Rattus norvegicus: one gene and its partners. The protein of the gene in region 5 binds, or shares a complex with, the protein of the main gene of each other region. Links are inferred from orthologs where the notes say so. Each region holds a gene or a part of one and is shown on either strand. Other genes may lie near its edges. The genes, in order: Wdfy3, Stx17, Tp53inp2, Calr and Gabarap.

The links.
Region 1: the proteins of Gabarap (region 5) and Wdfy3 are in contact, whole or in part, in a crystal structure (PDB 3WIM), measured with the Homo sapiens proteins. The link is inferred for Rattus norvegicus from reciprocal best matches to the Homo sapiens genes GABARAP and WDFY3. Residues at the interface, in NP_009209.1 of Homo sapiens: Glu17, Ile21, Lys24, Tyr25, Arg28, Pro30, Lys46, Lys48, Tyr49, Leu50, Val51, Pro52, Asp54, Leu55, Leu63, Lys66, Arg67, Phe104; in NP_055806.2 of Homo sapiens: Glu3342, Lys3343, Asp3344, Gly3345, Phe3346, Ile3347, Phe3348, Val3349, Asn3350, Tyr3351, Ser3352.
Region 2: the proteins of Gabarap (region 5) and Stx17 are in contact, whole or in part, in a crystal structure (PDB 7BV4), measured with the Homo sapiens proteins. The link is inferred for Rattus norvegicus from reciprocal best matches to the Homo sapiens genes GABARAP and STX17. Residues at the interface, in NP_009209.1 of Homo sapiens: Tyr5, His9, Lys13, Glu17, Lys20, Ile21, Arg28, Pro30, Lys46, Lys47, Lys48, Tyr49, Leu50, Pro52, Leu55, Gln59, Phe60, Phe62, Leu63, Lys66, Arg67, Phe104; in NP_060389.2 of Homo sapiens: Ala169, Glu170, Ser171, Trp172, Glu173, Thr174, Leu175, Glu176, Asp178, Leu179, Glu181, Leu182.
Region 3: the proteins of Gabarap (region 5) and Tp53inp2 are in contact, whole or in part, in a crystal structure (PDB 8T31), measured with the Homo sapiens proteins. The link is inferred for Rattus norvegicus from reciprocal best matches to the Homo sapiens genes GABARAP and TP53INP2. Residues at the interface, in NP_009209.1 of Homo sapiens: Tyr5, Glu17, Ile21, Tyr25, Arg28, Pro30, Val31, Ile32, Lys46, Lys48, Tyr49, Leu50, Val51, Pro52, Asp54, Leu55, Gln59, Leu63, Arg67, Phe104; in NP_001316358.1 of Homo sapiens: Glu31, Val32, Asp33, Gly34, Trp35, Leu36, Ile37, Ile38, Asp39, Leu40, Pro41.
Region 4: the proteins of Gabarap (region 5) and Calr are in contact, whole or in part, in a crystal structure (PDB 3DOW), measured with the Homo sapiens proteins. The link is inferred for Rattus norvegicus from reciprocal best matches to the Homo sapiens genes GABARAP and CALR. Residues at the interface, in NP_009209.1 of Homo sapiens: Glu17, Ile21, Tyr25, Arg28, Pro30, Val31, Ile32, Lys48, Tyr49, Leu50, Val51, Pro52, Leu55, Phe60, Leu63, Ile64, Arg67, Phe104; in NP_004334.1 of Homo sapiens: Asp199, Trp200, Asp201, Phe202, Leu203, Pro204, Pro205.

The regions. Positions count from the first base shown.
Region 1 is NC_086032.1:8,105,613-8,111,033, forward strand, and holds part of Wdfy3 (WD repeat and FYVE domain-containing protein 3), read left to right. Parts: intron 1-1,801; coding exon 1,802-2,119; intron 2,120-2,350; coding exon 2,351-2,462; intron 2,463-2,811; coding exon 2,812-3,009; intron 3,010-5,421. UniProt on the Homo sapiens protein: Required for selective macroautophagy (aggrephagy). Acts as an adapter protein by linking specific proteins destined for degradation to the core autophagic machinery members, such as the ATG5-ATG12-ATG16L E3-like ligase, SQSTM1 and LC3.
Region 2 is NC_086023.1:67,239,177-67,245,267, reverse strand, and holds the start of Stx17 (syntaxin-17), read right to left. Parts: upstream 3,526-6,091; 5' UTR 3,502-3,525; exon of another isoform or gene 3,394-3,501; intron 1-3,393. UniProt on the Homo sapiens protein: SNAREs, soluble N-ethylmaleimide-sensitive factor-attachment protein receptors, are essential proteins for fusion of cellular membranes.
Region 3 is NC_086021.1:164,339,894-164,346,056, reverse strand, and holds the start of Tp53inp2 (tumor protein p53-inducible nuclear protein 2), read right to left. Parts: upstream 3,921-6,163; 5' UTR 3,724-3,920; intron 3,680-3,723; exon of another isoform or gene 3,383-3,679; intron 2,853-3,382; exon of another isoform or gene 2,615-2,852; intron 466-2,614; 5' UTR 415-465; coding exon 291-414; intron 255-290; exon of another isoform or gene 10-254; coding exon of another isoform or gene 1-9. UniProt on the Homo sapiens protein: Dual regulator of transcription and autophagy. Positively regulates autophagy and is required for autophagosome formation and processing.
Region 4 is NC_086037.1:40,211,050-40,217,190, reverse strand, and holds the start of Calr (calreticulin precursor), read right to left. Parts: upstream 3,825-6,141; 5' UTR 3,762-3,824; coding exon 3,671-3,761; intron 3,313-3,670; coding exon 3,211-3,312; intron 3,018-3,210; coding exon 2,814-3,017; intron 1,913-2,813; coding exon 1,818-1,912; intron 1,731-1,817; coding exon 1,521-1,730; intron 1,442-1,520; coding exon 1,328-1,441; intron 1,161-1,327; coding exon 1,017-1,160; intron 1-1,016. UniProt on the Homo sapiens protein: Calcium-binding chaperone that promotes folding, oligomeric assembly and quality control in the endoplasmic reticulum (ER) via the calreticulin/calnexin cycle.
Region 5 is NC_086028.1:55,211,717-55,217,594, reverse strand, and holds Gabarap (gamma-aminobutyric acid receptor-associated protein), read right to left. Parts: upstream 4,131-5,878; 5' UTR 4,025-4,130; coding exon 3,935-4,024; intron 3,394-3,934; coding exon 3,315-3,393; intron 3,176-3,314; coding exon 3,057-3,175; intron 1,625-3,056; coding exon 1,559-1,624; 3' UTR 808-1,558; downstream 1-807. Other genes in the region: Phf23 (PHD finger protein 23), read right to left, coding at 40-73; Ctdnep1 (CTD nuclear envelope phosphatase 1), read right to left, coding at 5,695-5,755. UniProt on the Homo sapiens protein: Ubiquitin-like modifier that plays a role in intracellular transport of GABA(A) receptors and its interaction with the cytoskeleton.

The DNA of each region.
Region 1 (5,421 bases), on a different chromosome or scaffold from region 5:
GCACTAGTGACTTTTGGGAAAGCAAATGACTGACTTTGGTGATGTAAGGAGCTGCAGCATAGAAAGGTGCAGGGACTAATGTATGGAGTGTTGTGAGTGAAGTGCGTACACAGGTGCGTGCGTGGGTGCGTAAGCCACACTGTGTGTTAGAGCTAAGTTGAATCTGGACAAACGTCTCTCTGGCCATATCAGGGAACACAGCTCATTTCTGTGGGAATGGCCCCCACACAACAGTTGTCTGGGGCCTTAGAGATTAATATACTGTTCATTTTCAGAACAGTAGAAGGTTCTGTTAGGTTTTGGGGACTAGAGTGAAGAACTACAAGCTAGGTGGTTTAAATAAACAAAAAACATCACTGTCACAGCCCCAGAGGCCAGAAGTCTAAAAGTATTAACAAAACATTGCTTCTTAAGGTTCTGGGCGGGCACTTTCACATCTCTCCTGGCTTCTGCCAAGGAAGCATCCAGCTTTCCTTGGTTTCTAGACACAGCATAATTTCCAGTTGTCTCTCTCGATGTCTTTCTGCTGTGTCCACAGTTCCCTTTCTGAATGTTTACTCATTTGTCTGAGTGTGTGTGTGTCTGTGTTCAGGTGCTAAAATAAATTGGGAGATTAATGTTCTAAAAAAAAAAGAAGAAGAAAGGCGGGTGCCCAGAAGTGCAGTCTCTTGGTAAACTCAGAACCTGCCTTCTGTGCGGGAAGAAGAAACCCATAATCAGCACGTTCTGATTCTTGCGTGATCTCGGCGATGTCAGTTCCCACGGGCTCAGCCGTAGCTTCAGAAGAGGCTATGGGAAGTGTTGGTAGGAGGAACATAAAATTTCTAATCAGTAACCGTTGGGGGTCGCCTGTCTTACCCCTGAAGTGAGTCACGTTTCTTTAGTGAATGACTCAATGATCATGGTGGGCTGGAAGAGGGCAGGACTAGGCGTCGAGGCAGCGAGTGTCATCCTCTGTGTGCAAGGGGAAAGTCCACAGAGAAGGACTGAACGGTGCATACCATGGATGAGACTCAAGGCCAGCCTGGCTCATGTGTGAGTAGGTGTGTGGAGCGTGCTCTCTCCATTCCTCTCGTTTCCACGTGCTCACACCTTGCCCGTGGATCTTCCCTTTGAGAGGCATTGTTGGAGGCAGTAGGGAATGGTGTGTGTGGAGATGTAAAGGGACAGCAGGAAGATTCAGACTCGTATTAGAAGTCACGTGGTTACTGATTGCACGGATGAGACTCATGTTTGCCGTCCTACCACCATTACCACACACACACACACACACACACACACACACACACACACACACACACGCGCGCGCTGGAACGCGCCATGGACGTGACTCACGTTTGTTCTCCCCTCGGCCACTGTAAAGAGTGCAGAGGTAATGGTTTAGAGAGGAGCATAGGAGCAAGAGGCTTGGCAGGGGGAGTTTGGAAGAGGGAGGAGGTGCTTTGAGTAGAAGGTATTGGGTAAGATTTTAGACAGTGAGGTGTCGTCGGAGACAGGTGACACCAGTGCACCCGGGCTTTCTGAAGACAAGTAAAGTAGCATCAGTGCTTGGCGCTCCTGTGAGGGGGAGCAAGCAGGTGGAGCGAGCACCTGAGGAGCCAGGCTATCTGGGAGAGCGTGGTTCGGGTTTTACTAGGAGGGATCAAATGCCATGCTAGCGATTTTCTCAGTTGTGGTCTAGGACATGGAATTCTAAGGAGGGTCCTGCGTGTTCTTACCATGTAGAATCCGGCTGCATAGACTTGGTTGTGGCACTAACTGATGAGCCCGCCATCTCTCATTCTCCCAATGCTTTACCCAGGGCAGCAAGCCCAAGATGAAGACAGCAGTGATTCTGAGGCAGAAGAGCCCAGTGTCAGCCAGGATCCTAAGGACACGCCCAGCCAGCCCAGCAGCACCAGCCACAGGCCTCGGGCAGCCTCCTGCAGAGCCACCGCCACATGGTGCACTGACAGCGGCTCTGATGACTCCCGGCGCTGGTCCGACCAGCTCAGTCTTGATGAGAAAGATGGCTTCATATTTGTGAACTATTCAGAGGGCCAGGCCAGAGCACATCCTCAGGGCTCCCACTCCCACCCCAACCCCACTGAAGCACGAAGTTACAGCAGATTGAAACCTGGTAACTTGATGTTTGCTGTCTTTCCCCCTGCCCGTGAGTGTTGTGACAGGTCCTCCGGCTATGGGTCCGTCTCCCTTGAGCTCTATCCTTGATCAACTCTGTGCCTAAGCCAAAGACAGAGGCTTCCTGTAGATCAAGTGGGGCACGCTATAGAAAAGGAGCCACAGTCCGAAAACTCCCTTGATGGAACGCCCTAGGTTCAGTTCGTCTGTCTTGACGTCTCCATTTCAGGGTACCGGTGGGAGCGGCAGCTGGTGTTCAGAAGCAAACTGACTATGCACACGGCCTTTGATCGGAAGGACAACACTCATCCAGCTGAGGTCACCGCACTGGGTGTCTCCAAGTAAGAGCCCGGCTTTTTCCAGCCCACCTCCCTCTCTGGGTCATTGGACAAGGCTAGGGACCCACATTTTAACCCGGTCCTTGAAGCACACGTTGTCCTAGCTGGTCTGGTGCTTCTGGCCTAAAACTTGCCACTGTGTGGGTTTTAATTCTCAACAAATAAACCAACATCCGTGTGTGTGAAAGACATAGCAAGTGTTGAGCCAAAGGAAATTAAAATGGGAAAATAAATTCAGGTTCAGTTTTGATTTTTGTCTCCTTTAACTTCCTCTGAGGGAATCGGGGCTCCCTCTGAGCCCCCTCCCCCCACCCCGAGCCCTGAAGCAGAGGTCGTCTCCTGTTTTGCACAGGGATCACAGCAGGATCCTCGTGGGTGACAGCCGAGGCCGAGTGTTCAGCTGGTCTGTGAGTGACCAGCCTGGCCGTTCTGCGGCCGACCACTGGGTGAAGGACGAAGGTGGTGACAGCTGTTCAGGATGCTCTGTACGCTTCTCCCTCACAGAGAGAAGGCACCATTGCAGGAACTGCGGGCAGCTCTTCTGTCAGAAGTGAGTTTCCTGGGGGCGCTGTGCCCTGCATGGGCGCTGATTTGCATGGCCGTGTCCTGTGGGGTGGGGGTTTATGTAAACCCATCGTCATTTCTGCTCTTTCCTTTTCTACAATCATGAGCGACCTCTCTCATAGAGAACACAGAAACAGCTGTCAGCCCGACTTTAACACGCATGTGTATTCCACCAGATCATTCTAGAGGCACACAGGGCATGTGCGTGTCCACCCCACACACAGAACTTGTGTCCTTCCCCATCTACTGCCCTGTGTCTCTACTGCCCTCAGTGTTTGTGGCTCTGCACACAGTGTCTCGTTTCTCCGCTGTGCACTTCTCTGTAAAGTAGTACTCCACTGTTTGAAATCCACTCACAGATGTCAGCGATCGTTGCCTATCTGCTCTACTCCTGTGCCGGGACCATGTAGGAGTGCGTGTCCCTCACACTCACCCCCTAAGGATTCCTGGGGTCGTCTTTCCATTTTGCAAATTATGTAAAGCTACAGTGTGTTCTGGTCCAAGTGCCAGAGTTCTCTGCTGGAGACAGAGTAGAACACGCCACAGCACACGGGCTTGACCCTGGGTCTTAACCGTGCCTTGTAAATGACCCTCACAACTGTGCTACTACGAGTGCCGCAGGACCTTCCAAATTCTTAGTCCTCTGTGGTACGGCTGAGCCGTTTCCCCTTTGCCAACTCAGTGGCTAAGGAAATAAATGTGCCTCGAGGGTTTAACCTCAATGCTGGGGACCCTGGTGATCTTCTCAGATGCCACTGGGAGACTCCTCATTTTCCTTGAAGGTTTGTCTCTTGCACTCTTTTCTCCCTCTTGGCGGTCTCTCTCCTTGAGTTCCATGGGTACTAGGACCAGATCCTTCCGTGTCTGCACACACTTCCTGCAAGTCTGGGGCTTGTATTGAGTTTTGCATTTGTGCTGTCTTAGTACTAAGGTTCCAGTTTTGGTGTGGTTGCACTTACTATATTTGTGGTGTGTGTGTGTGTGTGTGTGTGTGTGTGATTTTAAGGTTTGCAAGTTTCACTTTTTAATCTATTTGGAGTCTGCATTGGGTCATGGGCAGGAGTCTATCTTGGCCCAAAATGAGGATGAACTCGCTATCCCCCGATTACACAGACAGCCCCCCCTCACCCAGCACACACACCCCAATTACACAGACAGCCCCCCTCGCCCAGCACACACACCTCGATTACACAGACAGCCCCCCTCGCCTAGCACACACACCCCGATTACACAGAAAGCCCCCCTCTCACCTCGATTACACAGACAGCCCCCCTCGCCCAGCACACACAGCTCTGTACTCTGACTCTCACAGTGCCTCCGTCTAAATGCTTCACAGAAAATTCCTGAGTAATCATTTTCTACAGCAAGTTCTGAGGTTTCATAGGCAGTGTATGGATTCTGGTGAGGAGGTGGCCTTTCCAGTGACTCTGATCTCTGTTCACCATTACCTCGGGTTAAGTGACTGAAAACCTTGAGCTTGTTCTCTGTGGCTAAAAGATGGATAAAGACAGCTTGCCCTGAGAGCAGCCACAAGGACCGGATGATGTAAGGATGGGAACGTAAGGATGGCAAGGGGGTGAACGGGTCGTAGTTACTATTTATTTATTTATTCTGGGAAGTAGGCTGCAAGATGAATTAGCAGGCACGCCCTGCCGGCCTTTCTGGGTGGGGCCGTCACGGCCGTGTGTTCTGACCCTGCAGTTACAGGTGGAGCACAGCCACCTTGCTGCTCTTGGGAGTGCTGTCCAAATATTAAGTATAGGTGATTCCTAAGTCAGCCACTGTTCTCATTGGGAGCACTGACTGCATAGTGCCAGCTGCTGCCAAGCCAGCCCAGGGGAAAGTTCTGTAGAGAGTAGAACCCGGCCCAGCCTTCCTGCTCTGCTGCTGAGAACAGCCACACTCCTGAGGGTTTGCACAAAATCTGACATAGCCAGCCCAGTCACCCTCCTGAGCACCCGGTTGTCCACAAGCCAACTGGATGGAGGTGTCCTTCATTTGAGACTCTCCGAAGGTGACTTAAGTGTCACTGGTACAGCTCCACAAGATGTACAGATCTCAGTTTAAAAACTGAATGTGAGGGGTTGGGGATTTAGCTCAGTGGTAGAGCGCTTGCCTAGGAAGCGCAAGGCCCTGGGTTCGGTCCCCAGCTCTGAAAAAAAGAACCAAAAAAATAAATAAATAAACTGAATGTGAAACTCCAGCGTAAGGCAACAGTGCCCCACAGCATCGCTCCAGAGTGGCCAATCGTGAATGTCCCAGAGCAAATTGAACTGAGGAACATTTGTGCCAAGTGAGGTAGGCCGTGCATACAGAGAAAGACCGTATACGGACGACGGCACACGTTCATGGCCATACGCTGAAGCTAACAAAGGCTGGCCTGACCTGGAGGTGGACT
Region 2 (6,091 bases), on a different chromosome or scaffold from region 5:
TTTGTGTGTGTGTGTGTGTGTGTGTTTGTGTGAGAGAGAGAGAGAGAGAGACAGAGAGACAGACAGACAGACAGAGACAGAGAGACAGAGAGAAAGGAAGTGTGTGTGAGAGAGAGACAGATAGAGGGAAAGGGACTCTGGGGGGGGGGCAAGAAAGGGAGTGTTTGTGAGAGAGAGACAGAGAGAGACAGAGAGAGAACATGCACATTTCTTTTTGGTACTCCCCAGGATCCCTAGAGTCTGTTAAGGTATCTGGTAGGTAATATGGTCACTAAATATTTACTGAATTCATCTTTCTCCCCTTTAAAACACAAAACATTGCAAAGGATTATGAAAAACACAACAATGAAGAAAATAAAAGTATGTAATGAAAATAATAACCTATTGCTGGGATGACTGACTAACTGAATAATATGACCAAGTATACAGAAAATGTTACCATGTAAACATTCTTACTATATACCTACTTTTAGTAGCATAGTATTACACTGTGCGTGTTCTGTAATGTAATCAACCATTGTTAGCTATTTAAGATGATCCTGTTTCTACTATTAGAAACTATATTCTGATTTCTTTCCTCATATGTAAATCCATATTACCTCCCATGACTACTTAGACAGCTAAAAATAGAAACTTTAAGTTTTAAAAATATACTCATTGCCAAATAAGCCTTTAAAGATTCTTCTATTTACATTCTACCAGAAATACTTCTCCATATTCAAGCCAATGATTAGTTTGATTAGTGGGGAGGGAAATGGTGTCCTAGGAGACTTTTCTAGTTCACACTCCCCTTCTAGATAGAATTAAATTTTTTCTATCATTTACATATATAATATGTAATTATATATCTGAGAGCATAATATTCAAATTATTGCAGGCATTGTGTTACCATAACAAAATATCATCTACCATGCCATCAAATAATAAAATAGCTCACATTTGTTATCTGTTAAAGAATACCTGTTCAATGTCAAAATCTGCTGTAGAAGTGTTTGAAAAATGACTGAAAGTACATTCCATTGGTTTTTATTTTTTAGTCATAAAGTCGGACCATGCTACATGTTTAAAAAGATAAAGAGCTTACACATGTAAAAAAAATCCAAAAATACATGATTCTGAAACTTCTGTGAAGTTATATTATTTTAATGATTTTTAAAAAGCAAAGAGTATCTGTGATAGGATTTATTATCATAGAGTAGTTATATTTGCACTTGTCGAAACCCATGGGCCTATACACATCAAAGAGTAAATGCTACTTCATGCAAACTTAAAAACATCAAGATACAGGAGAAGTAAGACTGCATTACCAAGGGGAAGGAAGCAGGTAAAGAGCAGGACATGGTAGTTTGGTGACCACTGTAAGGTGACAACAGTTGTGCTGTATGCTTCTCTGGGTAGTATATTTCAGACATACTGGAGTGACTTTCTGCATATACCAGGACTGAACAGATAGGGGAACAATTCCCAGAAAATGAGTCAGTCCTCAGTTAGAGAACAAGCAGGAGCCAATACCAAGATGATCTTGGTAGTGTAAAAAGACAGAGAGATACCAGTCTGTATGTACTGCTATCTTTTGTGAGGCTCTGGGTGCAATGACACCCTAGTAGCTGTGAGTACCCCTAGACCACAGGCCTTAGTGTCTAATACCACTCTGAAAGACAGAGAGAGGGCTGCAGGTGAGGGAAGGAGACCAGGAGAGATGGCGTTGATTCCAGAACTGGTGAAGAAGTCAGAGGTACAGAAAATAATAATGACAACACAAAGCCTAATGGCCAAAGTACATAATAACAGTAAAATAATCATATGAGCTTTTGTGTTTTGATTTTTCCAAGACAGGCTTCCTCTGTGTAGCCCTGGCTGTCCTGGAACTCAAATCTGTAGACCAGGCTGGCCTTGAACTCAGGGAACCACCTGTCTCTGCCTCCCAAGTGCTAGGATTAAAAGCATGTGTCACCAGGACCCAGCAATCCTAAGTTTATGTTGACACAAAGAATTGAATACAGATAAAGAAATGAGAGAAGTGGAAAGCTCCTCCTTTGAGAATTCAATAAAGGAAGGAGGGAAATTGAAGGTTGTCACAGTATCAAAGTAATAGTACTGGGAGAATAACTGGAGTACTAGTTGCTATGGAGACTCCCCCAGATACCAAATTTATCATGATTGTGTCAACACACAAGCAGTAGGTCCCATCTGGAGGTTCCATGGAGGCATACACTGAAAAGGGGTACTTACACCCTGTGGTATTCTTAAGAGAAATGCAACACAATCTAGTCACAAGTAACTGTAGACAAACTCCTGATTGAAGGCACTACCAACAATCCTGACTCTTCAAAAGCATAAAAGTCATGAGACTGTTACAGATTGGAAAGGGTAATGGCGCCAGGTCGATAAAGAGTTAAGGTTGTATATTAGATCCCATTGGAGGAAGGACTCTGATAAAAAGAATGGAATCACAGAGAGACCCAGTTAATCTAATATTAATCTCTTGCTCTCAGTGACTGTACAATGTATGGTATGTGAAATACTAATACAAGGGTGCTGTAGTGTTCTGTTATTACTAGTACCGGTTTTCTTACTTTCTTTTTTAAAAACAGGGTTTCTCTGTGTAGTTCTGGCTGTCCTGGAATTCAGTCTGTAGACTAGGCTAGCCTTGAACTCAAGAGATTCCCCTACCTCTGCCTCGGAAGTGCTGGGGTTAAAGGCGTGGGCCACCAAAGCCTCCTGCAATTTACGAGACTTTTCAATAATTGTAAATTACTCCAAAGTTTTTGTTTCGTGTTTGTGCATGTATACGAATTGCTGTTTCATGGATGAAAGAATCGTTTCGAAGTCTTTAGAGGTCAGGACCGCAGTCATTTTCCAAGCACACACATTTGCAGTGAGAGGTGTCAAGTGCTTTACAAACTTGATCTCTTGGTACTTGCAACTAAGATGACATTGGGTACCATGATACTAGGGTTCCACAAGAAGAAAAAAGTACCCAAATGTGAAGTAAATTACTCGAGAGTTATCTAAAAGCGAAAGAGCCCCTTTCCTAGAAAAAAATGTCCCTAATAGTTGACAGCACTACCCCTAAAGAAATGCATCCCCTTGGGCATGTGGGTGGTACACGCAGCCTAAGCGCTGACTCGGCCCCGCAGCTGCGGCCTCTCCGCGTCCTGCTTAGGCACCGGCGTCCTCATGGAGTCACCAGGGCGCACCCGGGCTACACTGGCAACCCCTGCAGCGCGGCTGGCCCAGAGACCCAGGGCCCGGAGCACCTCTTCATAGCGACCCCGGAGGGCATGGCGCCGCGGGGCCTCGGCCTCCCCGCTCCCGCAGGGACAGCTACTCCAAAACTGAAACCAGGGAGGCTTGGCCACTTCTACTCGCGGCCCCGGAGCTCACACTAACCCGAAGCCGGGCTTGGAGACCGGTGCCTCTCCGGTGCGTCCACAGCCCGGCCCGCGGTGCCACGTCGTAGCCCAGCGCCCCCGAGGGGGCAGCCCGCCAGCCCCTTACCTCCCGCCTAGGCGCTCGAGGCCGTCGGTACAAAGTGCGCAGGCGCGAGGGGCGGGGCGTTCTCGCTAAGGGCGGAGTTACACGGCCCCGCCCCCATCACCCCAGCGGGCGTGATGTAGATAGAGAGCCCGCCTCTGGAGGAACAATTCCAAAAGTGTTGTTTTATGGGTCGTCTTGTGTACTGTATCCAAGACAATTTACATTCGGACAACCCTCTACATGTTACAGTTTTCCTGCACATTGTGTTCCTTGAATTTTGTTGGCGAGGACAGCCTCGTACCCTCAGCTCTTCAGGTGTGTGAAACTGAAGCTCAGAAACGGTGTGCCAACCTCCCCCGCCTCGCCCCGCCTCCCAAAGCCCCTGAGTGACAGGCTAGGGGGCATCTGAATGGCCACAGGCACAAAAGGAAGCAGAGATGAACTTTTTTTTGTCCACAGCCTGCTGCCGTGCTTTGGGCGTCTGTCCTTATTAAAATGATAGCTTGTCGCTTTGAGGCTCAGCACAGATATGAAGTGACTCACTCCAGTCCAGCCCGTTTGTGACAGAGCTGGACTCACACCTGGTTTCCCTACTTTCCTTCTCAAGTCATTCCAGTTGGACCAGCTGCTGCAAGAACAAGCTTTGAAGTGTGTGCAGGTCATTGGTCCTCCTCTCTGAATGTTCTGACCTCAAGACCTAGCCAACTAAAATATGCATACACATACACAACACACACACACACACACACACACACACACACACATTTTTTCAGGTTTTTGCTTAGAGTGGATCTTCTGATAGGGTAGTTTTCAACAGTCTTAAGAAGATTCCTGTTGGCTCTAAGGAAACTCAGTTCTTCAGGTGGAATGAAAGTAGAGGGAGAATTTTAGCCCACAGATTAGGGGCTTAAGAAAGTCTTGAAAGTGGGGGTTGGGGATTTAGCTCAGTGGTAGAGCCCTTGCCTAGGAAGCGCAAGGCCCTGGGTTCGGTCCCCAGCTCCCAAAAAAAAAGAACCAAAAAAAAAAAAAAAAAAGAAAGTCTTGAAAGTCGATGTTTAAAATAAAACCCACTATTAATTAAGCTATTTGGATTTTCTTTGGGGTATGTTGAATGCTAGTGTTTATGGTTCCCTTAATTCATAAAATGGGGTATGTCTATCAAATTTTCATCCCAAGGAGAAAAGTAAATGTATTAGGTAATACCTTAGTAAACTTTTATTTATTTTTTTTTTATGCCAGAGAGTCAGTTAAACAAGAGAAATAGGGAATGGTTTAATTGGCAAAGGGGATAAGCACAAGATTGAAGGCCCGAGTTTGGACACCCAGCACCCATATAAAAAGCCAAGTTCTGTGGCATATGTTTATAAATGCTGTCTAGATAGACAAAAGGATCCATGAGCTAGCCCGGCAGACAGCTGGTCTTGTTGAATTGGTAAGCCCCAGGTTCACTGAGAGATGATGATGTGCTCTCTCTCTCTCTCTCTCTCTCTCTCTCTCTCACACACACACACACACACACACACACACAAAGAATTGGTTAAACAGGACCTTTTGAATTAAAGATAATCGGTGTTAAGTTCTGAAAAAGTGCCACAGGAAGCTGTGGCCCTCTAGGGTTGATCTGGCCTTCTAGGTAGCTCTATGATGTTTGCTGTAACCTAGGTGTATCAGGTAGAAAGATAAAGATATTTAATCTAACAGTTTGCTAGCTACACTTATAATTTACAATATTTAATTGAATCTTTCAATATTGAGACATAAGGAGTGTGACCAGGTTTTGTGCTCTTGCCCTAAGCCATAAAGTTATTAGGATAATAAGATCTGCTGCCATGAGACAAAGTTTTCTTGATATCCTAACTAAACCAGATCCGAACAAAACAAAACAGTAAGCAATATACATTCCAGAAAGAAGCCAAAAAGGGAAATCATTACCTGGTAAGACTATTGCTTCCACATAGAGCCTGTAGAAATGAGTTCGAATGACTTCAAGGTGATTAAAGAGGTGGCTTTCCCAAATGATAATCACAAAGTTAAAAATGTAGTAGGAAAGTGAACACTGAGAAAAATGTGTGTTTGTGTTTCTGAGAAGGTAGAGAACCTATCAAAGGAGCTGAATAGCCCCAGTGAGGTTGGGCGGGGCGAAGGGGAGACTTAAAAGGAGCGTCAGATAGCAACAATCTCAAAGACAAAAAATACATGATCATCTCTTTAGATGCAGAAAAGGCCATTGACAAAACTCCACCATCCCTGTATGATAAAAGTTCTGGAGAGAACAGGGATACAAGAGACACACCTCAACAAAATAAAGGGAGTTTACAGCAAGCCCATAGCCAGCATCAACTTAAATAGACAGAAACTCAAAGCTTTTCTTCTAAAATCAGGAACAAGGCCAGACTCTCCACTCTCTCCACACCTATTCAATACAGTGCTTGAAGTCTTAGCTAGTGCAGTAAGGCAACTGAAGAGCAAGTGGATATAAATCGGAATGGAAGAAGTCTAAGTATTTTTATTTGAAGATGACATGACAGTATGCATAGGTGACCCTGAAAATCCCACCAGGAAATTTCTATAACTTATAAACATTCTTAGCAAAATAACTGGGTACAAAATC
Region 3 (6,163 bases), on a different chromosome or scaffold from region 5:
TCTATCCATCGTGCCCCGAGAGCACCTGAAGGGCCAGGATCCTTAGCCCGCTGCCCTAGGGATCCCAGGTGTGTATGACCCAACAAATGCCAGGGGACAGGGCTTTCAAGAGAAGGGTCTACGTTACCTCACCTCTGGGCTCAGTGCTTCAACTTTACTTTGCCCAGCAGGCCTAGGGGGAGTCCAACTTCCAAATAGTCCCCTTCCCCTTCCATATTGCAAAGCCTCCTGTCCTCATTATGTTTCATGGACTAGGAAATCAGAATGCTGGCTCCTGACTCGAGCCTCACCCTGTAGGTCAATGATGAGCCAGCCGTCCACTTCATCCTCCTCAGAGACAAAGGCCCCCGGACAGTTGGAGTCTTCAGGAGGTGCGGGGGTGCTAAAGAAAAGGCTGGTGAAGCGCTGGAACATGGTCAGCGGGTGAAGCAACCTCAAGGGGGCGCCCTATGGCAGTTCAAAGACCTAGGAAGCATAGAAAGACGTTAAGGACCACAAACTAAAGTCAGCCCTTCACTTGGTAGCTGAAGACAGGGCTAAGCCCCTAGCTACCACAGCAGTGACAATAGAGAAGCTTATGGTGTGTGCTTTTCTGCACCCAGTAGGTGTTCCTGTTTGCATTTAGGAAAGTGTTGGGTCTTTCCTTCTCATCTGTCAAATGACAACAGTAATACCCTAATAAGAGTTAAATGGGGGCTGGGGATTTAGCTCAGTGGTAGAGCGCTTACCTAGGAAGCGCAAGGCCCTGGGTTCGGTCCCCAGCTCCGAAAAAAAGAACCAAAAAAAAAAAAGAGTTAAATGAGCCAAACACTTAATGACATGTTTAGAGCAGTGCCTTGAGCACACAGTAAACATTCAATAAGCTAATAAACTTGGTGTTATGGCAGGGTGCTTTGGGGATATGGAAGAAGTGATATATATGACCAGGCTTTGCCAGGGTAGGTCTCTAGAGGAAGACACAGCCAACCTGGGCTTTGAAGAGTAAATAGGAATTTTCCACTAAGGGAAAAACATATCCTTACTATCATCATCATCCTTACTAACATTCCTGTGTCAGTAACATACACTACACTAACTTCATCTATTTGTCCTCACAGTGGATGAAGGGACAAACCTGGAATCTCAGTACTTGGGAGGTAGAGGCAAGAGGACAAGAGTTCAAAGACATGATGACCCCACGTCTGTCATCCTAGCCCTTAGAAGGTGGAGGCAGGGGGATCAGGAGTCCAAGTCCTGGTTAGGCTACCTAGTGACTTTAAGGCCAGTCTGAACTACATGGGACCCTACCTAAAACACTAAACAGCCTCTGGCTACATGAGATCCGTCAAAGGGACTGAAAAGGAGCGGGAGGGAGAGAGAATATTTTTTCTGGTAAAGAGAAAAATAAAACAAGGCCCAGAGAGGTTAAGTTCACTACCTAGTCTCACAGCTAGTAAAGTGCACAGGTAGTATTTCAATCTACATAGTTAGTGGCACCCATACTCACTACAGTCCACTACTGTCTAGATTAGGCCTTTTTTTTCTTTTTTTCTTTTTTCTTTTCTTTTTTTTTTTTTTTTTTTTTTTTTTTTTTTGAGCTGGAGACCAAACCCAGGGCCTTGCGCTTGCTAGGCAAGCGCTCTACCACTGAGCTAAATCCCCAACCCCTAGAATAGGCTTTTTTAACTTAATAAATAGGCCTGTGGCTACGTGTAATTTTTCTAGGAAAAAAAAATCTTGGACTTCAGCAAGGTTTTCTAAGCAGCAGCCTTTCATAGACCAAGAATAATTAGTGGGGTTTGAAAGGTGCTCCCTAACAGAAACCTCACAGTTCTTGCTACAATCTCCCAATGAGATTGGGCAACCCTCAGATGAGGGGGACCTATGCCCACAGGTCCTCCCCACAACTCTAACCCCACCCCCCTTTTCCTAGATTCTTGTTCAAAGTCAGCATCCCTGGCCAAGAGACAGAATATTGGCTAGTGAGACAACATGCCAGAGAGAGATAGTGGAAGAAGGAAGCTGTCAGATGCGAGGAGCCCTTGAGGATAAACTCAAGTGTTGGACCAAGACCCAATCCTTCCCTGGACTAAGACAAGAAATTTCCTGTTCTAGGAACATTCATCTACCCAATAAAGCTATAGCTTAATGGTGGTGTGACAATGCAGAATGCATATAATCAGAAAAACCTCAACAGATAATATCCAAGAATGATGCAAACAGGGAGAGCAGACACATGCCCTGGTCCAGCCAGCACCCTTGTGCCTATCCACTGAACAACGTAGAAATCCTGGCATCAAACTTTAGCACGCATTTCCCATGGTTCACACTGCGTGCCAGACCCTGACAGGAGCCTTTTCAACTGTTGAAAATGTTGAGTGAGAAGCTGCCTGGTGGAGATCATACAAAAGTTAGTGACAGCCAGTCAGCCAGCTACAACTGCCCCCTCCTCCTCTGACCACTAGGAGAGCCTCCTGGCTTCCTGGTTCTCAGATTCCTGGCTCTGCTCCAGGAAGAACCATTCCCTTAATCCTACAGCAGCTGTGCCCAGAATAGCACTTGAGGCCAAAGCCAATCCCAGCCCAGGCCATTCTTGAGCGACCCCCAACCTGGGAAGGACTCCAGATCTACTTACTTGGAAAGTAAGAAACATCCTTCTGTCACCCTGGAAGCAGACTCGGGAAACAGCCTAAGCACTGTAATCACTAGTGCCAGGCTCTCCCAGCTGCCGGCTTGGGATCTGATGGGAAGCCAATAGAGGGAACTCCCAACTCGCTCTCAACAACATCTGCCCTGGAGACACCTGGAGGCAGGCAACTAGTGACTCACCTTTCTGTGGTCAAAACAGCTGGGAGACAGCAATTAACTGGGTTCTGAGGTAGAAAGAAGGCAGAGGAGGTCGGGGCCTTGTAAGGGACCCAATTTTCAGAGACCCCCTGGGAAAATGACCACGATCAGGAAGAAGACTGAAACACCCATCAAATTGGGTTGGTGCTGAACCCAAGATAGGGTCCTCAGTAGATGGATATATAGCTTGTACCTTGTACTTCAGCTAAGGGATCTGTCGCTTATTGGGTGTGATTGTAATTGGCTGAGATCTCTAATAAACTACGTCTCTCTGAGTCTGTTTCCCCCTCCGTGAAGTGGGCGTTAAGACCCTCAATATTTGTAGGCTGAAAATGACATCAACTAAGTCTCTGCACACATGCCAGGGATTAGAAGAATGTTATTATGTTAGGGGGCGGAGCCTGAAGACTGAGGGGATCCGCTACCATCTGGTGCTGTCTCCAGGACCTGGAGTCTGAAGCTTCCTTCATCTACCTTCCACCCTCTCGACTTAAATCGAGTTTTGCCATCTGACCCTTCTTCAGGTCGCAAGGAAAAAGCAGATGAGATGCCTGACCTCAGTCCCTAGATTAGCTCGGGGAACCGCCGAGTGCCCTCGGGTCTCGCTTGCCTTTCAGCGTCTCTCAACCCTCGACCGGCCGGGCACAACATAGCGCCCACCGGGTCACCAGAGGACAAGCACCCAAGCAAGCCTGGAAGGCGGGGCTGGCCTTGGTGACGTCTCAATGTCATATGCAAATAACGCGACGTCATGGCCTACCGGCTTAGGGCAACCAATAGGGAGCCAAGAACGCAGCTCCGGCTGCCGCCGGCGGAGACAGACAAAGAACGGGAGAGGGGGGCGCAGGGCGTGTCCTGGGGGTGCCCGGAGCCCCCAACCCCGAGGTCGGGACTCACCTGGGGCCGCTGCAGCAACCGCTGCGCTGAGGTAGTTGTGCGGCCGGGCGTCCCCGGGTCGCCGGTGCTCACAACCGGAGCTGCATACCGGGGACAGGCCGAGAGACGGCGGGGCTCGCGAACGGACGCCCGGAGCTGCTGCGGCCGCTGCAGCCGGGGCTCAGGGCACAAATCCGAACGCTTCAACAGCTGATTGTGACGTCACAAAGGGGCCCGCCCGCTCGCGTCAGCGGCCGTCGGAGCGGCGGCCAATCGCAGGCGTCGAATGCTCTTTCCCCGCCCCTCCGCGGCTTGCCAGCGGGTGGCTGCATCCCGGGAGCTGCGCTCCCAGCCTCTGTCTGAGTGGAGGTGACGGCCCGAATTCCCTGCCCCCAGTCACTCACAGACCTCACACTGAAAGCGACCCCCCAATTCTTCCTCAAGAATCCCACCTCGCCGCTTTTTCCGCACATATCCCTGCTCCCTCACTTGTCCCAGCGCTCCGCACATCCTTAGCCTTCATCTTAGGTACAGGACACCCACCCCACTCACCCCCGCCGCGCTCCATCTGTAAGTCCCTTCCCCCCCGCCCCCGTCCCCCTTGTTCTTTACCCCACTTCTCCACACTGTCGTCCTTGTCTGCTCTCCCTCCTCTGTCTTACCCCTACACGTTTTGTTTTCCCCCACGCTCTCCTTTTTTTTTTTTTTTTTTTCCCCCGGTGGGTTTGAGCAGACCTTGCCGGTTCCGCGGTTACAAAGAAGCACCTGCGAGTTAGGGAACTGGTAGGGCTGACGGGAAATCTGGCCAGCGTGGGACTTGGAAAGAAATTGCTCTAAGCTGAATAAACATTGACCTGGAGACAGCTCAGCCTAGAACGTTTACATACCTTATTTAGTCCTTATTTGCTACCGGAACAGGACAGAGGGAGGAGTGACAGACAGGACAGGGATTGTTAAGTCCTGATTTACATGTGGAAAAACTGAGATTACATGTACCTGCCTTTAATTTCAGCACTTGGTAGGTAGAAATAGGTTCAAGAGTTGAAAGGCAGCTTGAGCAACAGGGAACCCCAAGAGAGGGGAGGGAAAGAAGGGGCAATTACTATTGCTTCTTCCAGACTGCCAGCTGACTTTGAATACTTAACATATGCCAAGCACTGTGCTGCTTTTTAATCTTCACAATAAACCCAAAAGGTGGGCATTATCCTCCTTTTATAGTTAAAGAAACAGACTAGGAGGTTCTAAGTAACTTCCCGAGGTAATTAAGCAATAGTCAACAGCAGAGCCAGGAGTTTTAACAGGAGTTAACTTACAGGCACCAACTAGCCTTGACTGATCACTACCTGCACCAGAGGGACTGAATTCCAGGATTCTAATGTCTGCAGGGAAACCTGGCTTCCAGTCCTGTGTCTCAACGATGTGATTTCAAGTAAGTCCTTACTATTCTGGGCCTTAGTTTACCTGACATGCTGCCATAGGTGTCCAAACTTAGAGCTGACAGGGTTTTCCAGACCCTTCATCCTCAAGACTCTGCCAAGTTCATGCTCCAGGCTTGAGCTCTTGCAATGGCCCGTGAAATCCTTAGGGGATTTCCACTGCTAGAGCATCTGGGTCTTTAGAACAGAGTTGGGAGATGAAGCTCTGAGAGTTGCCCATCTGGCCAACAGGAGCTAGTTCAGAGCTCCATGCTCTGGTGATTTCAAGAACCCTGCCCCAGCCTGGTCAGAAAGCTATAAGGGAGGACTGAAGCCTGCCAGGCAGAGGAGACAGCCAGGAAATAATACCCAGAGGCTTGGGGGGAGACGATTAGCACTGTGTTCCTCACACTAGGGTTTCCAGTGTGTCCTCATTTGTGCAAGCCCGAGCCTCTGCCTAGCACAGCCACTTCCTGCTAATCTCATACCCTCCCTTGACCTCCTTGCTGACAAACTAATCACTAATGTGTCCCTCCTGTCATACCGCCTGTTTCCTCTAAAACCTTACATTCTCACAAAGCCCCACAACCCCAACAACACCGATGGTTCTTCACAACCCAGACCCGGTTCTCAACAGCAGCTCCTCCTTTCTTCTCTGTGTACCCTGTGCTAGTAAATCTTTGTCTTTTCAAAACTCTCTCCTCTGTCTAGATTGCCTTCTCTGAGCCTTCCTAACATTCCTCCCTGTCTTCAAAATTCGACTAGACAGTGATGACTTTGATGGACGGTCTCAATTGTTTTTTCAACAAATGGAAGTGTCTGAGTGTGTTGCTTACACTCGTAGTCCTATCTACCCAGTGTCTGGGATAGCCTGGGCTACATTTCGAGTTAGAGCACACATGGTCTATGAGAGAGAGAGAGAGAGAGAGTGTGTGTGTGTGTGTGTGTGTGTGTGTGTGTGTCAGACACACATTGACATTGAGTCAGAGTTTCACTACATAACTCTGCCTAGCCTGGAACTTGCTATGTACATCAGACTAACCTGG
Region 4 (6,141 bases), on a different chromosome or scaffold from region 5:
CCTCAGATCCATCCCAGCACAGAGAAGGCAGAGGCCAGACTTCTTGTGGAGTTCCAAGGCAATATAGGATTATAGTGAGATCGTGTCTAAAAGTATGTAGGTATATGTAAGCATGTTGGTATGCTGAGAAGGGAGGAGGGAGTGAGGAATTTCAGGCCAGCCAGTACATACACTAAGACTACCTTGCCTCAAAAATCTTTTTTTTTTTTTTTTGGTTCTTTTTTTCGGAGCTGGGGATTGAACCCAGGGCCTTGCGCTTCCTAGGCAAGCGCTCTACCACTGAGCTAAATCCCCAACCCCATCTCAAAAATCTTAAAAAAAAAAAAAAAAAAAAAGGTGGAGCGGGGGTTGAAAGGGTGGCATGGGCTGTGATGCTAGGGACATTGTAGTTCAGAAGCCATGCTTCCAGAACTCAAACCCTAATGACCAGGAATACTGACTTCACTTTTTGCACTACTCCTCCCTCTGTAAAACAGGCATTCTGGGGAGAACTGAAAACATACCAATGACAAAAACTCAGTACTAATGTTTTTTTCAAATCTTATTTTGTTATGTAGCCAGGGTGGGCAGTGAGCAGAGCTGTAAGTGGGTGATCTGAGCTGATTTTGCAGGGGCACTTTAGCAAAGGACTTACTTAGCACATGCCAAGTAGCCCTACAGAAAGGTGCTCAGTGGGGCCAGAGACAGCTCAGCAAATAAAGGTACTTGGTTGCCAAGCTTTTTTTTAACGACCAGAGTTGATTCCTAAGACTCACATGGTGAAGAGAACCAACTTCTCCAACAATTTTTTTCCTCTATGTATACCGACACACATAAAAACGTTTCAATAACAAATCAGCTTTCTTTTGTGTTAGTAAAAAAAAAGGAGATAAAACAGGAAATGTCTCAATAAGTGGACATTTCAGAATTTAAACACCTTGAGGTTGGTGCCTCTGCCTGTTCTTCCCTCCAGATCAACCAGTACAATCCTGACTACTTGAGGTCTGCCAGGAACCCTTGTCTTTCCTATGTCTCACCTGCCAGAGGTCTAAGCCCAGTACAGCAAAACTATCATAGGCATAGATATTCGCATCGGGGGAGTATTCAGGATTGTCAATCTCTGGGTGTATCCAGGTACCCTTGTAATCTGGGTTGTCAATTTGACGTGGCTTCCATTCGCCCTGTAGAAGAGAACCAGATGAACAGAGGTGGACACATCCCACAGTACAACCAACCACCCTGCTTAGAACCCCAAGGCATATCTTGTCTTTTTCCTGTGGTGCGACATCAATCATAGCACCAAAGGAAGCACCCTACTAGTGAGCAGCACCTCAACACCCAAGCCTACCTTGTATTCAGGATTTTGAATCACTGGTGGTTCCCACTCTCCATCCATCTCTTCGTCCCAGTCCTCAGGCTTCTTAGCATCAGGGTCAGGGATGTGCTCTGGCTTGTCCCAGTCCTAGGAATATACAGGGAGGTCAGGGGGACCCAGGGTCCTCCCCCTAGGATGGAGGTGGAGCTGTTGTCCCAACACTAACCTCAGGCTTGGAATCTGTGGGGTCATCAATCTTGGCTCGTTCATCCCAGTCTTCTGGCTTGGCAGCGTCAGGATCCTTAATCTTCTTGGGCGGCAGAAAGTCCCAATCATCCTCCAAGGAGCCCGACTCCACCTGGCTGTTGTCAATTTTCACCTCGTAGGTGTTGTCTGGCCGCACAATCAGCGTGTATAGATGTGTGAATTCATCATCCTGAAGAAGGAAGGAGGTGAGCAGTCCCTCCCACCAGGCTGCCTGGACCTCCCGTGACAGCCACTTAAATGACTACCCCAGACACACCTTACACCGGATATCCTTGTTGATCAGCACGTTCTTGCCCTTGTAGTTAAAGATGACATGAACCTTCTTGGTGCCAGGACCGCAGATGTCCGGACCTATGTAGGAAGCATATGCAGGCTGATGGCAGGCTCTACCCTTGGGGAAGAAAGACCTAACCTTATGTATTTATGCGTACGTACGTATGTACGTACGTATGTACGTACGTGTGTGTGTGTGTGTACCATGCATATACAGGAGCCTGCAGAGGGCACTGGAGTTGGAGAGCTACTGTTTGAGTGCTGAGAACTGAACTTCAGTTCTTTGAAACCATTGCATCCACTCCAGCTCCTATTTTGTTTTTGACAGAGGATACTGTTACCTTTAACTGAAGCTGCCTTTAAAGTACTCACCTACCTCAGTAGTGTGAATGCTGGAATGTACCATGGCTATCTAGAAATAAAGACCTGATCTTGTCTTTTTTTTCCCCTGAGACAGGATCTCTACGAAGTCCTAGCTGTTCAGGAATCATGGAGAGGCACCTGATTTCAATATACCTATTAAAGGCATCAAAGACTACAAATCTGAAAAGAGTACCATTCTGGGCCAGCAAAGGGCTCAGGGGTAAATTAGGTGCTTGCCACTAAGCCTGATAATGCAAATTTGATCCTGGAACTCAGATGACAGAAGAGATTTCCAAAGTTGCCCTCTGACCTTCACACTAGTACATACACAGGTACATAAAAAATTTGCACTTTTTCCAGTGATTTCTTTGACCCTGTCATTAGCATCATTTCTAAAATTAAGAAACATGTAGAAAATACCATAAAAATGAACAATATAAATCTACAACTAATAGAGTCCACCAACTAATAAAGTAAACCCTTTAGTTGTCCCCTCAGGACAAAAATCATTCAAGTGCTTTCCATGATATGAAGATCAGCATTCTAGTTATAAAGGGTTTCAGTTCGCACCCACTGTCCAACCGGCAGAGGTCAGCATTGGCTGGGGGCCCCTCACCAAACATGATGTTATATTCTGAGTCTCCATGCATGTCCTTCTGGTCCAAGCCACCCGGAAACAGCTTCACGTAGCCGCCCCCACAGTCGATATTCTGCTCATGCTTCACGGTGAACTGTACCACCAGTGTCTGGCCCTTGTTGCTGAAGGGTTCGAATCTGGCGGACAGCGCGTAAAATCGGGCATCTTGGCTTGTCTGCAACCCTGTGATGAAATGGGATTGTCGTTAGGTGGACCCCAAATACCCTAGACCTTGAGGGGCACAGTTGACCGCCCCTTCCTTCCTCCACCTGTCATTGGCTCCCTCATTCCTGGGAAAAGCTCCAACAAGCTGTGTGCACTGACAAGAGCTTCCTCCAGGAAGTTGTCTTGAATCCAAGCACCCACTCCCTCGTACCTTTATCCTTCTCCTGGTCCCCGTAGAATTTGCCAGAACTGAGGACGAATTTGCCAAAATCAGACTTATGTTTGGATTCGACCCAGCGGTTGGTCCAGGCATCTGAAAGAGAAAGGCTTAGGAGTCAGATCAGCGGGACCGTCCGACCCCCGCCCCCATAACCAACGTCTGTCAGGAGCTACAAGCAAGTGGGGGTGGGGAAGGGGATTCCCATCCCAACCTCGAACTTGACACCTCGATCGGCTTCAGGTCCTTGAACGAACCTTAACTCCGGGCGCGGGAAACCGCTGCGCCTTCCTGGTCCCCCAAGGACGCACAAATGGAACCGCCCGCGGCTCTAGTCCCCCCGGGGCCACAGTGTTGGCCCTCTGAACGGTAATTACTTTACACACGACGAGGCAGCCGAGGGCTCGGGGCCCAGCAGTCGCTGAGGCGGCCTCGAGGCGGGCCCAGACCTTACCTCCGTCCAAGAACTGCTCTTTGAAATAGATGGCAGGGTCTGCGGCAGCCAGGCCGAGGAGGCCAAGCAGGAGCGGCACCGAAAGGAGCATGGCGGGCCGAGGGGGCGGCGGCACACTGGCCCTTTAAAACGATCTTCAAGCAGCGGCTCTGCGGTATTGACGGACGCGGCCGCCGCTGCTCCAATTTATATCCACCTACCTCTCATCCCAACCTGACACGACCGCTGAGCCCGCCCCTCGGTCCTTCTGACTGGTTTAGACCTACAGCTGTCCCTTCTCATTGCGTCCTAGTCGCCTCAGCAAGTTAGGCTGTGGCTCGGAACGCTGGGATCCCAGATGGCTGATTTCTATTGGCCGCACCCTGGGCCAATCAGGGTCGACCACGCGTTGTAGGGGACGCCCCCTGTTGGGGTGGGGGCCGCGAGCCCACTCAGGCGCGGTCACGTGACTGAGCCTCAGCCCAACCCCGCCCTTGCTGGTGAGAGTCCCTTGCTCGCCATGAAGTCGTTTAAAGAATCCGCGCGAGCAGTACCGGGTGTTAACCGTGCGGGACCGAGACTGGGCCTCCGTCTCGTCTCGGCCTTTTTCCATCCTTTCTGGTCAGAGGGAAGAAGCAAGGATTCTTTGCAACTTTGATGTTCCATCTATACTGCACTTAGGGAACGCCCACCGATGGCAAGCTTTTCCTATTCAGGATAAGGTCAAGGGCCAGGATCCTGGGGTTTCGCTGCATTCTGGTTCCCAGTTGTTCAGGCCAGTAGAGAATGTACCAGCTTTCTCCTCTTGTCCCGTAGTTCCCTGACAGCCTGTCAGACTACTGTGTGACATGATACAAGTCACTTCGCCTCCCTGAAATCTCAGAAGCCAACAGGGGTGACCCTGAGCTATCTGACAGAAATGCTCTTAAACCTTTCAGGGCTATCCACGGTTTGAGAGCAGGAAACATAGTGGTCTCATCGGTGTGAATGTAAGTGTGTGTCCTTGGGTGAGAGGTAGTAACCCTACCTCTATCATTTTTTACTCTTACGCTGGAAAATGGAAAGAGTCACTTCTTGTGGTCTCCCACAAACGACTTGGCTTTTGCAATTAAACGGCTATGAGCAGACAGCAAGGGGTGCCGTTTGAGAAGGAAAAAGGACACAGATGGCTGTGGTGATAGAGTTCTAAGGAGATAAGCAGGACCCTTGGATCTGGAGGCCTCTGACTCAAATCATGTGACTGTGGCCAGCACCCTGCTTGCTGCTAGGAGGAGGAAGGACAGTACCTGTAGGGGTTGGGGGATGGGAGGTGTTTCCAAACTGAGGAATTGGGAACACTGGAACAGACAAGGAACTGCACAGAAGGAATCCTTACAAAAATGGAGTGCTTCCTTCTCAGTGAGAGGAACTCAAGCAGTAATGACACTTAAGGTCAAGAAGTTGGGGGTCCACTCTGTTCCCCAGGCAGTGTCCAGAACTAAGCATTGCTGGTGTAGGTCCCTCTGGAGGACACCCAAGTCCAACAGACCTGTGACTGGCCCTGTCTCCAGTCCTGTGACTGACACATATGCCTTCTGCTTTGTCCTAGTACTTAAGAAGTTGAATGAAGCAGGGATCAAAAGTTCAATGTAATTCTCAGCTATGATGTAGTGAGTTTGAGGCCAGCCTGGGCTACATGAGACCCTGCTTCAGCACAATGAAATAATGGACTGGAGAGATTTGTTTTGGCTGCTCTTTCGAACTACCCCAGTTCTATTCCCAGCCCCCTCGTGAAGCATCAAAATGACCTGTAACTCCAGTTTCAAAGGGTCTGAAACCCTCTTCTGTGGGCACCAGACATCAAATGGTAGAGAGAAATACGTGCAGGCGAAACACCTATACGAATAAAATGAAATTTAAAAACTAAAAAAGAAACCAAATGTGGCAAAGCACAGCTGTCAACTTCAGCAGGATCGCAGGCAGGAACATGGGAGTCACCCAGGAGCTCTTGACCTGCTAGCTTGTAACCCAGAAGGAAAAAAAGAACAAGAGACTCGGTGTCAGATAAGGTGGAAGGTGAGAGCTGAAGTCCTCTGACCCAAGCACACATTCAGCCCCAGCATTGGGAGGGCCAATGAGTTCCAGGTCAGCCTGGTGTCACTTAGTGCAGTCTAGGTCAGTCAGAGTTACATAGTGAGATCCTGTCACAAAAGAAGAAAATAAGGTGTTTTGAAGCTGAGGAGAAAGGGGTCTAAACTGATGAAACCTGAATACATGATTTGTCTATAACCGGATTGGAATCAGGAAGTACTAGAAATGATGTGTAACGGGCTTAAATAATGAGTTTCTCTCTTAACACACACCAGAAAGGGACATCGAATCCCACTACAGATGACTGTGAACCACCATGTGGTTGCTGGGAATTGAACTCGGGACCTCTGGAAGAACAGTCGCTGCTCTTAACCACTGAGCCATCTCTCCAGCCCAATTAATGAGTTTCTGAGAGTGTCTCA
Region 5 (5,878 bases):
TCACCCGCTCCCTGTCCTCTGTGCCTATGGAGAGCTTACCTTCGGGACTGGGCTCCGCCATGGCTTCCAGCATCGCCCCCTCCCCTTCACTCGGTCCGGCGACCCCCTCCTCTAAGCCGGGATTCCCGGTGCTGCCTTGGGTGCTCCGTGTTTCTACTGCCTCGCTCCACCGAAGTGTCCGCCTTGGCGCGGTTGAGACTCCAGTCCGCTACCGCCTCCTCCCTCTACCACTGCCTCCCGCACTCCCGGACCGGGCCCCCTCCCCCCGCACCGCCGGCCGCCTGCTCCCTCCTCCTCCTCTCTCCTCCCTCCCTTCTCCCCCTCCCTGCCGGCTCTGTCGCGCAGTGCACCAAGGGATTTGTAGTCTGTGCAGGGGCAGCGGAAAGGGGCATGCAAGATCCTCCGGAACTTCAGTTCCCAGTAAGCCACGGATTGGCGCAGGCGCAATAAGCAACTTCCCCACCACCACCACCACCACCACCAGGGGAGTGGCGGGGAGATACGAAGCTGAGGGGGGGTGAGAGCGGAAGAGTGCGCACTGACTCCCGGGAAGTGTAGGCTGGGCGGGACCAAGAAAGTGGACGAAGAAGGGATTATAACTCTCGGCCACCATACTGCCTCACTTTGTACCTTTTTACCACCAACAGGGAACCGCCCCACTTCCGGCCAGGAGAAATGGATGTTGGGAGATGAAGTTCTCCTAGTGATAATGGCACCTTCTAGTATTTGCCCTCTCTCAAATTATACTTTACAGAATCCCATACACTGGCACAACCTCTGCCAGTGACAACCAGTTAAAGACAGTCCTTTTACCACCTCCCAAACAGGAACATATCTTCTTTAATGGGAAGTAACATTTGGACATGTTTACCAAAAAATAGTTCTTTCAAACTTTCTCCATACCACCCCACACTACCAACCTCCACCTCTTTGTTTACATCACAAATACATAAATACAATTAAAGTTTCATGAGAGAATGCTTACATTATTCCACTCATCAAAAAAGGAGGAAAGACCAACATCATCAATGCCTTCCTAGTTCTCTGATCTATACCTCAATCCTCCTTTCCCACCACTGAAGTTCACAACACTTGAAACAAAAAGCCAGGAGGTAGAATGACACAGGGCAAATTCAATTCAGCTCGGTGGTTTCCTCTTTATTGATGTGCCTCCTACCTCCCCCACCCAATGTCAACCCCTTCCATCTACCCCCCAAAAAGAAGGTAGTGAAAGGAAGGGTTTATTGGGGTTCTGAGCCCAGTGGGCAGTTAGAAAGGGAATAGAAACCAAAACAATCATCCGATGTGACAGAGATCGACAATCCAGAAGTCTAAAGCAGAGTGGGAATGGAGGGTAAACAAGGGGAAAGAGAGATGTACAGCGGCTGCATCTACCATTACCCCTCCTGCTCAGAGGGACTGGAGAGACAGCCTCAAACATTAAGTGCAGGTCCTGAAGAAAGGAGATGGTGTTTGAGCCTGAAGGAGGAACTGGATGCCAAGGAAGGAGCGCCACCTCTCTTTGTAGAATGGAACCCCCACCTCCGGGACAGCAACTTCACAGACCGTAGACGCTTTCATCACTGTAGGCAATGTATAGAAAGAAGTCTTCTTCATGGTGTTCCTGAAGTAAAAGCAAAAAGGAGGTTTAAGGCAACTCATTACTCCAACCATTTATCACCAATACATTCCTCAAGAATCATTTTAAGCATGGCCTGGTAATTCCAGATGCAGGAAGGACGGAAATCTCAAGGCCACCAAGGCAACTTAAGAACCTGACTCAAAATAGATCTACAGGTACAGATCATCCATAAGCATTTGTAGGTACCAGACATGCTCCTTAGTACAAAAGGAATAAGAGAAAAGCAGACTGTCCTTATTCTCTTGCTCCTTTAGGAAATGGTGACCCTGGCTGGGCAGTGGTGGCACACACCGTCAATCCCAGCGCTTTGGAGGCAGAGGCAGGAGGAACTCTGTGAGTTGGAGACTAGCTTAGTCTACAGAGTGAGCTCCAGGACAACCAGGCTATTACACAGAGACCCTGTCTGGAAAATACAAAAAAGAAAAAGACTGACCTCAAACTCACTATACTATGCAGCCATTGACCTCCAACTTGATACTATTGCCTCAGCCTCTCAAGGGTTTGCTTGCTCTGTGGGGTGGGGGTGGGGGTGGGGGTATCTTTTAGAGGTTTTGCTTTTGAGATAGGGTCTCATTATGTAGCCCTGGAACTCCCTGTGTAGAGCACACTGACCTTGGAATTCAGAGATCTACCTCCCTCTGCTCCCGGAGCGCTGGGACTGAAGCTGTGGCATGATCACACCCAACGTGCAGTGGTTCTGTGGGTTTTTTTAATTTGGGGGGGAAGGTGTTTTTGATTTGTTTTATTTTGTTTTTACTTCTTATTTTTGATACAGGGTCTCACTAAGTATCTCTGACTCATTAGGATAGCCTCAAACTCCAAGAAATCCAGCAGCCTGGATCGGATTAAAACTGTGCTTGGACTTAGAGGATCAAAGGTGTGCACCATTATCAGTCGTTATTCAGGACTGGAACTTCTAACACCTTTAATACCAGCACTCAAGAAGCAGAAGCAGGAAGATCTCTGAGCCTGAGGTCAGCCTGGTCTACATGTCAAGTTTTAGTGCAGTGGTGGCACACACCTTTTGTTAAGCCTAGCCCAAGGGAGGCAAAACCAAGTGGATCTCTGGAGTTCAGAGGCCAGCCTGGTCTACAAGAGGGGGTTCCAGGACAGCCAAGATTACAAAGAGAAACCCTGTCTCCGAAAGAAAAAAGAACAACAACAACAACAACAAAACCAACAACACCACCACTCCTCAAACTATTTTTTTGACATCTGGGACTCTTGGATAAGGGAAAGAGACTTCCTTAGGTAGTAAGAGTCCCAGTCAAAACAACTCCACCAGCTCATACCCTCTCTCCTCCCACTGCTATTAAGATCCCAACCCAGGACTTTATTGACCTTTTAAAGCTAGTAAGCCAACAGGAACTGCTGACCTTTTCTTTCCTCTCCAAACACGGCCATGGTACTATACCTGGTACAGCTGACCCATCGTGGCACTGGTGGGTGGAATGACATTGTTGACAAAGAAAAACAAGGCATCTTCAGCACGGAGATGAATTCGCTTCCGGATCAAGAAGTAGAATTGACCAACTGCCCAAAAACAGGAGATACAAGAAAGTCAAAGAGATCGTAGGTGCCACCAGAAAACAGCTGCCAGGTGAAGCCTCCTCCCACAGAGATGGCAGGCCCACCCACAGAAAGAAACATACACCATGGGTCAAGCTCCCACCTGTAAGATCAGAAGGCACCAAGTATTTCTTTTTGTCCAGGTCCCCTATCCGAGCTTTGGGAGCTTTTTCCACTATCACCTGATGAAAGGAAGGTACGAATGAGATTTTAAAAAACGTACAGCTATATCGATGAAGAACTCAAGGTACAATATTTCCTTGTACTGAAGCCTATTGCAATCTCATTTCTTAATAATATTTATCCTTACATGCGTGGTGTATCAACATTAGGTCCAGAGATCCTGGCCTCACTGTCTTACCTAAATATTGAGAATTGATCCCAGAACGGTTCATCACAATAACTATTTTCATCAGTGAATACAGGATAACTTGTTTAGGTCAAAAAAAATCTACCTTAAATCTAGCTACTTGGGAGCATGGCCATGGAAACTCTGGTTGTCAAGCTCACTAAGGCCTCCATTCTGAGAAATTCCCAGGTCTCACTCTCTCCCGTCCACATCGCACTCCCAGCTCTACTTCTTCAGACCTCTCGCCCTTGGTACCAGAGACAAGAGTTCTAACCTCAAGGCAGACTGGAGTCTGACCTCGGCTTTCCCAGACTCAAGCCTAGTTTGTGGCGACAGCGTCAGCGACGCTAGCGTCGGCCCTGGCTAGTCCTTACCGGGACCCGGTCTGGGTATTTCTTTCGGATTTTCTCGCCCTCAGAGCGGCGCTTCTCGAACGGATGCTCCTCTTTGTACACGAACTTCATTCTCCCGAGAACCGGGCTGGACCGAGCTGGGCTGAGGGAACCCAGGGGGGGGGCCGGGACAGGGGACGGCGGCGGAGGCGGCTTCGACGAACAGACTCAGCGGAGCGATCCACGAATTTGCGCCACTTCCCTATTCACCAACCCCGCCCCCGACCGTCCGGACCGGCCCCGCCTGCTGACATACACCACGAGCTCAGCTTGCTAGCGCAACCCGCTGCTCCGTCCTCTTACGCCTTCAGCGTAACTGCTTTGGAATCAATTTGTGAGTTACGCGTATGACATCGCAGATAAGGTTGCTGTCGTTTCAAGTCAACTGAAAAATCCTTCCCCAGGTAGCCCCACAGTACAAAGCAGAGGACGAGAGTGGTACTAAGTGGCAGTCGTGAGATTTAGTTCTGCAGTTATTTTCGGAAATTACGTTAGGGAAAGGCAATTACAAGTCTAGATATTCATGAAACGTGTTGCTACGCTGAAGGTGGCCGTTGACACCAAAACAAAGTAGTACCCAAGGTGTGAATAAGGATACCATAAGACGGAGAAGAAAGAGGTTTGCAGACACAGCGAAGGCTCAAGACTCAGGCGGACCAATAGAAACTGCAAAAATCCCAAAGATAGGGACTATATCAGGGCGGAGGAACACATCCCGGAGTGTTGCAAACAAAATCATGTGACCTCAGAAAAGGGCGGAGAATCACGTGGCGAGGGCCAAAATGTAGTCCCGGCTCTGGAGAGGAGGTGCCAGGAAAGAGGGCTCCGCCCCAAGTTATTGCCGGAGTGCCAACAGCTCGTAGGCAGCGCCCTCTCAGCCTGTCCACGTCAACTTCCCAGTCAAGCCCAGCCTTTCTCCAGCTGTTTGCCCTTCGAGGGTTCTAGATTTTTTTCCTCTTCAGCCTTCTATGTCCTAAAGTTGCTCTTCCACTGTGCATCAGGGACTCTATCCAGTCAGTGGGGCTTTTCCAGCCAAACACCGGCATAAATTACTTTATCCCTGTGCTGAATCCCACTTCCGCACTCCAAACAGCATCTTGCCCCTCTGCTTCAGAGGCAGAGCAAATGTAACAAAGTTCCCTCCAAAAACATCAGAGAAGGATCTAGGGCAGCTTTGGTTTCAAAGTTATAATGCATGGTTTAAAAGAGGAAGGAAGAAAGGAGCTGATTACAGGTATTGGGGGGTTGGGGAAAGAAAAAAAATGAGGAAAAGTAAGGAAGGGACAAGACTGAGGAAGATCCAGTGGCCCGAAATCCCAGTCCCCACCCACAGCCCAGCCCTTGGAGCAGGAGTGAAGAATTAGATCAGTTTTGTATAAGAGTTTTTAAAAAATCAAATCACAACAAAGTTGAATTGGCTTCTTTTGAGCCTCTGGGATATGTCTGTCACTCTGGCCAGTCCTGCCTCTTCACCAGACGGTTTCGGTTCCCCTAGGCCTTCGCCTGTCCCAGTCTGGCATTTCCACGGAGTGTGAACACAAAGAGTGAGGCTGCTTCACAGTCTGGCCCATGTGTCCATCCTGACTCCGTAAGCGGAGTGTAGGGCTCCCAGGGCAGAGAGGGGCGGGAGGAGCAGACTCTGCCCAGGCAGTCCTCACACTGGACAGGGCTACAGACGGCCGTCCGAAGAGTTCTCCCTCCCTTTCCCCTCCACCCCAACTCAGGTGGAGGGGGAGCAGCTGTCACCAGAGCCTATGTTGGTGAAGGTTTCGGCTCAGCACCGATCGGACATCAGCAGTGAACCTGGAATGACAGGAACTTGCGTTGGTGGACTACCTTACAGTTGACAACACTAACACAACGGAGTCTCACTGGACAAGACACAACTCAATAACACTTTCACACAGTGAAACTGGACAGAAGCCA